Xenopus tropicalis: one gene and its partner. Each later gene encodes a partner of the first gene's protein in a complex. Links are inferred from orthologs where the notes say so. Each region holds a gene or a part of one and is shown on either strand. Other genes may lie near its edges.

Region 1 (3,659 bases):
GGTTCTGTGTGTGTGTTGTAGAATGTAATTTTCTAAGAAAATTTTGTTTTTTTTACAACTGCTTAGCTTTTTGTTAAGCAACTTTTCAGTAGGGTCGCCACCTTTTTTTGGAAACACCAGGCTTCCTATATTTTTAACTTTTTTCCCCTTTTAATAACATTGGCATAAAGCATCATTTTTACTGCCCAGGCTGGTAAAATAGTGGCCATGTGGCAACCTTACTCTCCAGTTTGGATCCTAGAAGCCAGATAGCTGTTGAAAGTCCAATGTACCTTGGTAACCAGGCAGTGGTTTGAATTAGAGACCAAAGAACAAATAGGAAAGGGCCTTGATAGAAAAAGAAGTCATAAAAAGTAACTCGGAACAACAGTTTTTTCCCCCATTTGAAAGGTGAAAGAGAAAGGTAAACAATTTAAAAACTATAAAGGAAACAAAGGAAAAGAATGCAAAAAGGCTGCTAATAGGACATTCTATTCTTCTGAAAATTAACTTGAGATTGAATTACCCATATCAACTTCCTTTTACTACTTCCACAATTGTTCTGAAGACCTAAGAAAGTTAGCAAACGGAAGTACTTTATTTGTTCTGCACTAACTGCTGCAAGGTGCACAGAACAGGGCTATTAACAAATTCCTTGCTTTTGAGTCTGCATTACTTCATGGGTACCAAGATGACTTACCTGGTTATAGGAGTTCCTCCCTAACTTATACATCTATATCCACCCCTACACACATACAAACCTTTGTAACTGACCAAGTGTATATGCACTTTGCTTTGTAGCATTACATAATATATACACCATCTGTAATGTAGTAATTAGGGCAGACTCCTTCCAGAATACAAAGAACAAGCATCACCACCCCCAACAGCCAGAATGTGACGAGCTGTAATTACAAACACACACACACACACACACACACACACACGGAGCATTGCACAGTGTGGGAGGGCATTCTCCATCTGCTGCCTGACACACAGTGTGAACACACGTGACTCTGTGCAGAGTGCAGTCGATGCATAAACACATAACATGGCAATAGGAGATCAGCTCCAATGACTGTAACATGTTTCAAATGTATATTTACCTGAAAAATTCACACATTATTGCAAATTCACCATGGAAGGGGTAGGACCATGTTTATTAATATACATTGAGAAAAATGTGGTGTGTTATGGTTTGGGACCCTTGGGGTGTTCAGATCCTAAGAGCAGTAAGATGTATATCAAAGTGAATCTGCCTCAAATAATAGAAACAGCTTTACAAAACCCTTACATGACTACAATTAAATTAATGTACATTTCGTATTTGGGAACCCCTGTGCAACATTGTATTTTCACAAGCACTTAAGAATAGCTGTCACTGAACATATGCTCTGGGGTGAAGAGGAACTGGAGGACACTTACTGACATATAGGATCTTGTCCCAACAAAGGAATTTGCCATGGAGTCTATTAGCTGCCCGCTGACTCCAAAGTCGCAGAGTTTTATCTCTCCCCTAGAGTTGACTAGGATGTTAGAAGGTTTCACATCTGCAAAACAAACAAAAAAAAAAAAATGACTTTTAAAAGGGACATATACCTAACCCAATAACGGAATGTAAAATTGGTAAAAGTGTGTGGGGGCTGGGTAGAATGGCAAAGCTTATTTTATTGAAGCAGGAAGCCTCTCTTGATGCTTTCCTGTTCAGTTCTATTGCTTAGTGACAGGATCAATAGAACACATCCTGATTCAGAAAATAAAGCTAATGTTGTTTAGCAAGGTTGTTACTAAAGAAAATAATAACATTGCAAAGGGGCTCATAAAAGCACTTTGAGCTATTAAACATTAAGATTTACGTAGGGTATATGCCTTTATGCTACTGGAAGCACATTATTTCTCCTCAAACACCTAATCCTAGTTAATAGGAGACATCTCTCTATATAAAGCCATTGTGGTTGGCATGGCACCATTAGTGCTACAGTGAGTTTTTTTTATTGTTACGCTATAACAGCGGTTTTCAATACAGAATGATCTTTCCGGTCCTAAGCTGAACATTTTAAAAGGCGTTATACATCAATGAGTCAATGAGGGCCCTTCCATATAGAAACTTACCTCTGTGCATTATCTTATGCTTCTCTCTCAGGTAGGTTAGACCTTTTATCACCTGCAGTTAGAAATGGATATCAGAATTTGACAGGAGCAAGTGTAACACATGACATTAAAACTTGTAGTATAAATTACAGCTTTTACTTTCCAGGATGCCCTCTATATGAATGAGCATATAATTGGAAGGATTTGATTTTGTTGGATAGTTTTCTTATATATATAAATCACAAATTTGCATTTGCTAAATACTCACTGCAATGCTGACTTTTCCCAAAATTTTCTCAGGGATTTTGCCAGCTTTCTTCAAAACCTGATCAAGGGAGCCTCCATCCTGCAGGGGCAAAAAATAGAAGATCAAGCAAAGAAAATACAAGTTTACACACAGGCCGATTAGTTGCCGCAACTTTTAATTAAGCCAGTAAGACTTTTCAAAGCAGCGACTAATCGCCCTGTGTGTCTTCGCCCTAAAGGTGTACACCTTGTATAGATACAGTCCTGAGTGTATCTGATGCCTCAGCTAATGACTAGAGCACAGTTTAAATCTCCTTATCATTAGCTCATTATCCCAAAGGCTCTGAGCTCTGGCCTTTCAAGTCCCTCCCTAATTCTCACCATGTGTTCCATACAAATGCTGATCTCTCCGTCACTGTAGAAGGCCCCATAGAACCCCACAATGTATGGGGAGTTACATTCATGCAGAACCTGCAACTCTCGGATAATCTGATTTCTGATTGCAGGCTTTATCTCCAGATGAATTAACTGCCAGAAAATAATAGAATATGTCAATCATTGTATTCTTATGCACAAATTAATAACAAATTCACGTTTTCCTTCTGTCTTTATTTCTACTTAAACTCCATTCAAAAATCTCACCTTCCTGGCCATAATCAAGCTAGTCGGCTTGTGGGACACCTTAAACACCACTCCTCCATTGCCTGCTCCAAGCTCCGACACTTTCTCAAAGTCATCATCCTTCAGCTCCCCAACTTTCTGCTTCTGGGTGAGAAAGGCCTCTAGACGCTTCCTCTGCTGCTCATCCAGCTCCAGCTCTTCCAACTTTTTCTGCAGAGCTTCAAGGTTTGTCCTACAAAGAGAAAAGGAAAATAAGAAATCTCAAAGGAGTTTTATGATTCTATAAAAGCAGTGATCCCCAACCAGCTGCTCGGGGACAACATGTTGCTCACCAACCCCTTGGATGTTGCTCTCAGTGTCCCCAAACCAGGTAGTTATGTTTGAATTCCTGACTTGGGGGCAAGTTTTGGCTGAATAAAAACAAGATTTAGCACCAAATAAAGCCCCCTGTAAGCCGATAGTGTGCATTGAGGCTACCTAATGGCCAATCTCTGCCCTTATTTGGCACCTCCATGAACTTTTATGGTGCTTGTGTTGCTTCCCAAGCCTTTTTACATTTGACTGTGGCTAACGAGTAAGAAAAGTTGGGGACCCCTGATAAAAAGGATCAGGGTTGCAGGACATGTGGTTTCACTTTATGGGGTCTGAGCTGACCTGTAATATCAGCTCAGACGTTCTTTTAATACACAGTTGTGTTGGGCACAAGTGGCATTGATGGAGAG
Region 2 (3,659 bases), on another chromosome or scaffold:
AACTGATATTTTATCCAATATATTTTTACATTCAATAAATATATGGCTTACAACCAGAAAAGAAACACCACTGACCTGGTGATGATGGCCAAGTGAGGAGGATGCATGCATGCTCCCATAAACAGAACTACATTCTCATGCCGCGTCTGTCTGTAGTTCATCACCTCCTTTTTGAAGAGTTTTAAGTGATCTTGATTATTTCCATCTATCTCCAATAAACGTATGGCTACCTCACCGTGCCACTTGCCTCTAAACACCTTTCCCCATCTGCCTTGGCCAATGAGCTCCCCAAGTTCTATCTGCTCAAAGGGAATATCCCACTCTTGCAGGTATACACTGGTCTGGCTCGCCTTGCGGATGATCATTCCCCTGAAAGTTCCACTTGTGTATCTGGAGTTAGGAAGCTCATCAAGCTCATCATCGTCATACTCTGGCTCAGATTTATTGGCATCCTGCTCTTCCACCTGTAGTAAATATATAATAATTAGGTCCATATTCAGTTGCATTTGAATATTCAGGCAGTGATCTTAGGTAATAATAGTTTTTTTTAAATACATGGGTATTGTTGCATATACCCTACTTACAGAACTGTACCTCATCCATTATATTTAAAAATGTCTGATAAATCAGTTTACACTACGGCTGCCACTGCATGGGGGGAAGGGGGTTCTCTTTCAAGTGAAAGGCACCTAGCATCATATATTATGATCTATATATATATATATATATATATATATATATATATATATATACTGCAGTCACAATGGCATTTTCTGAATGACCGTGTGCCATTTTGTTCCTATTTGATACAACTGTTGCATGTGCACTGGCAGTAATGTTTCTAGGAGGGATAAAAACAACCTCTCTCTTGAGATGTGCTTCTGGTAGGCTGGAAATCTGGCAACACAGGAATGGTGGCAAGGGATGTGATACCTAATCATTACGAGAAGTCTCCTGAGTGCAGACAACATGAAGCCTTGTAGAGCCCCTTGAGATTTCCCTACACAAGAAACTATTTCTTATTTTAAAGCAATATACCTTCTACTATCATACAAAATTTAGATATGATTTCAAATAATGCTACATTTGGCTCCTAACATCCCAATACATTTATTAGGTACGGAGCACCTTATAATGACATTTATTGTATGCTCCCATTCCATGACTGTACATGATGAGCCACTTTACCTCAGCTTCTTGCTCTTCTGCCACATCAGTTTCCATTTCAGCCTCAGCACTAGGAATAATACAGAATAATATCTCAAAACACATATGTAGTTAGAATAGGTGAATGTTTTGCTGTTGCCAAAGGTAGAATGCCAAATCAGATCAATTTTACGTTTGTAGGAAGCCAATTATTTCTGCTGGGTGTAGAAGGCAGCTTTGATTTGAGGAGTTGACAAAGGGATAGAAACAGCAAAAAAATCTATACAGTGTAGTATTTTCTCTTAACAATACACACTTTGTGGTCCAATATATAATTATACATGTGATCAGTAGAAAAGAGATCAAATCTTTAAAACCAAAAAACTCCAGGAACGATATACAAATCCCTTATCTGCAGTGGTACTGATATATTGGACCACAAAAGGAGAAAATATTACACTACATATATTTTTTTTGCTGTTTCTATCCCTTAGCCAATGGCGCTGAAGTTTTTCTTGTTTGTTTTGAACTAAAAGGATTTGTGGGAAGTCCATCAACTTTGGCAGGGATCGGCTTTGAACTTTTCACACAGACTTATCTAATTTTCTTACTTGATTTGAGGAGTGATACAAGGTATCAGAAGCACATTTAGATACAGGGACACTGTCCATCAATGGATGCAAGGGACACACATTATAATTAATGTTGGTACAGATGCTTCAAAACATTACAGTTTTTAAATGATAAAAGTATTGCTTTTGGATATAATTATTAAAACAGCAATTCAGTTGTATATGAATGTACTCTGAAAATGTAGAATAATAAACATATACACTTTTGTATATGATTGCAGAAAAAAACATGCAATCAAGTAGACTTGCTTCTGATCTAATGTTAAAAATGTCTCCACTGGATCCGCCATATGGCATATACATGACTGAAGGGGCAATCTCTAACAAATGTAAGGAAATGAAAAGAATCATCTGAATTCAACAGCAGTTAGCACATTACCTGGAGTTCTCTGAAGTCTCAGAAACATGCGATGCTTGGGCAGTGACAGATACTTCTACAATAATAAATAAAAAAGACATGCAATCAATACATAATATACAATACATATCTTGTATTAATAGCATCTGTTAAATATAGGAATTTCTCTGTCCTCAAATTAAAAGTTATCTCCACCAAATATACTGTAATTGTTATGGAAAGTAGTTATCTGTCTGCTGCTTTTGAATATACAAAATACTTATATCAATTGCACTTACAAAAACTTTAAAATCATTGAAATGTTTAATTAACGTATATTTGAAGCTTGTTTTCAATTACATTTTCTTTCATTATATAAAGAACAATTTTTGGGTGGAGAACAGCACATTAGTGGAATTGCATGGTCATTGTTCGAGTTTGTGCTGTTAGCACCATCAAGTGGTTAACCAAGATTACTGCAACATGAAAATACAATACAAACCTGATGTTTTGGGCCAGATTTAGTTTGGTGAGAAAAGGAGTTTTCACATGAAAACTCATGGAGGAGATTCAATTTAATTTAAAAAACTTATCTCATGGTTTATCACATGAAAACTCTATTGAAGTCTAAGGGAAAAAACAAACTGAACCAGGAGAAAAGTTTTATATCCTTGAATTGAATCTCTTATGCCCCTTCATAAAGACAATTGCATGTAATTGCATCATACAAGTTAAAAGAATTCTTATTGCCTAAAGAAAAACTAAGTATTTTAATTAACTAACAGTATTTTGATACATGTGAACAGAAAACGTTGTTTAGTGAATCACCGTGGCCCCCGTGACTTTGTAGCTAGGCACAGGTGTTCATGTGGCAGATATGTCCATTATAGATAATCAAGCAGACTCAATGAGGTGACTTTGCACCTTTCTGCATAATAAGTGATTCAACAAACATTGGCTGTTTTTTTCCTTTAATTTTGGTCAGTGTAGGTTATCAAGTATATTATCAATATATAATAGGGATAGAGCTAATGCCAGACGTAGAAGTCTTATAGGTTGTGTATAAAGGTAGGCCGATTCACTCTACTCTGCTCACTCCTCTGTCTGCACTGACAAGCACTGCGTTGGCCTGTGTGAACACGGAGAAATATTTAGAGCAAAAATTCATACTCTTGCTTTTTTTTTTTTTTTTAAGAAATCCACTCCGTATGTGCACACAGGACAGTGCAGTGCCTATGAGTGCAGACATACAAGCATTGAACAGCTGTTTATCAACCTACGTTTTATACAAATGCTGAGACACATCTGGCATTAGCCTAACACTTGCTTTTTTGTGTGTCATGTGTCATGTTTGAGCAACCACAGCTCATTGAAAATATATCATAGCTATCATTTCAAGTAAAAACATTCATATTTTGCTATTAAAACCAGTAACAGAATTTTTTTGTTTTGTTTTTCCCTGACCTTGCCCTCCCCTTGCAAACAGCGAAATTTGTTTAAATGCAGACGAACTCTCTATAAACAAACCTGTTCTTTACCTAAGC

Evidence for each region. Proteins that work in one complex are often made in the same cells at the same time.
Region 2: the proteins of map2k1 (region 1) and ksr1 are in contact, whole or in part, in a crystal structure (PDB 9AXH), measured with the Homo sapiens proteins. The link is inferred for Xenopus tropicalis from reciprocal best matches to the Homo sapiens genes MAP2K1 and KSR1. Residues at the interface, in NP_002746.1 of Homo sapiens: Asp217, Ala220, Asn221, Ser222, Phe223, Val224, Gly225, Thr226, Arg227, Ser228, Met230, Arg234, Leu235, Gln236, Gly237, Met308, Ala309, Ile310, Phe311, Leu314, Asp315, Val318, Asn319; in XP_011523731.1 of Homo sapiens: Asn767, Gln768, Leu769, Lys770, Leu771, Ser772, His773, Leu776, Val784, Arg785, Met787, Thr788, Pro789, Asn823, Gln824, Ala825, Ala826, Glu827, Ala828, Ser829, Ile830, Trp831, Gln832, Gly834, Ser835.

What each region holds. Positions count from the first base shown.
Region 1 is NC_030679.2:117,157,092-117,160,750, reverse strand, and holds part of map2k1 (dual specificity mitogen-activated protein kinase kinase 1), read right to left. Parts: intron 3,170-3,659; coding exon 2,959-3,169; intron 2,845-2,958; coding exon 2,698-2,844; intron 2,417-2,697; coding exon 2,339-2,416; intron 2,144-2,338; coding exon 2,092-2,143; intron 1,530-2,091; coding exon 1,405-1,529; intron 1-1,404. UniProt on the Homo sapiens protein: Dual specificity protein kinase which acts as an essential component of the MAP kinase signal transduction pathway.
Region 2 is NC_030678.2:104,961,046-104,964,704, reverse strand, and holds part of ksr1 (kinase suppressor of Ras 1), read right to left. Parts: intron 2,213-3,659; coding exon 2,158-2,212; intron 1,238-2,157; coding exon 1,189-1,237; intron 465-1,188; coding exon 76-464; intron 1-75.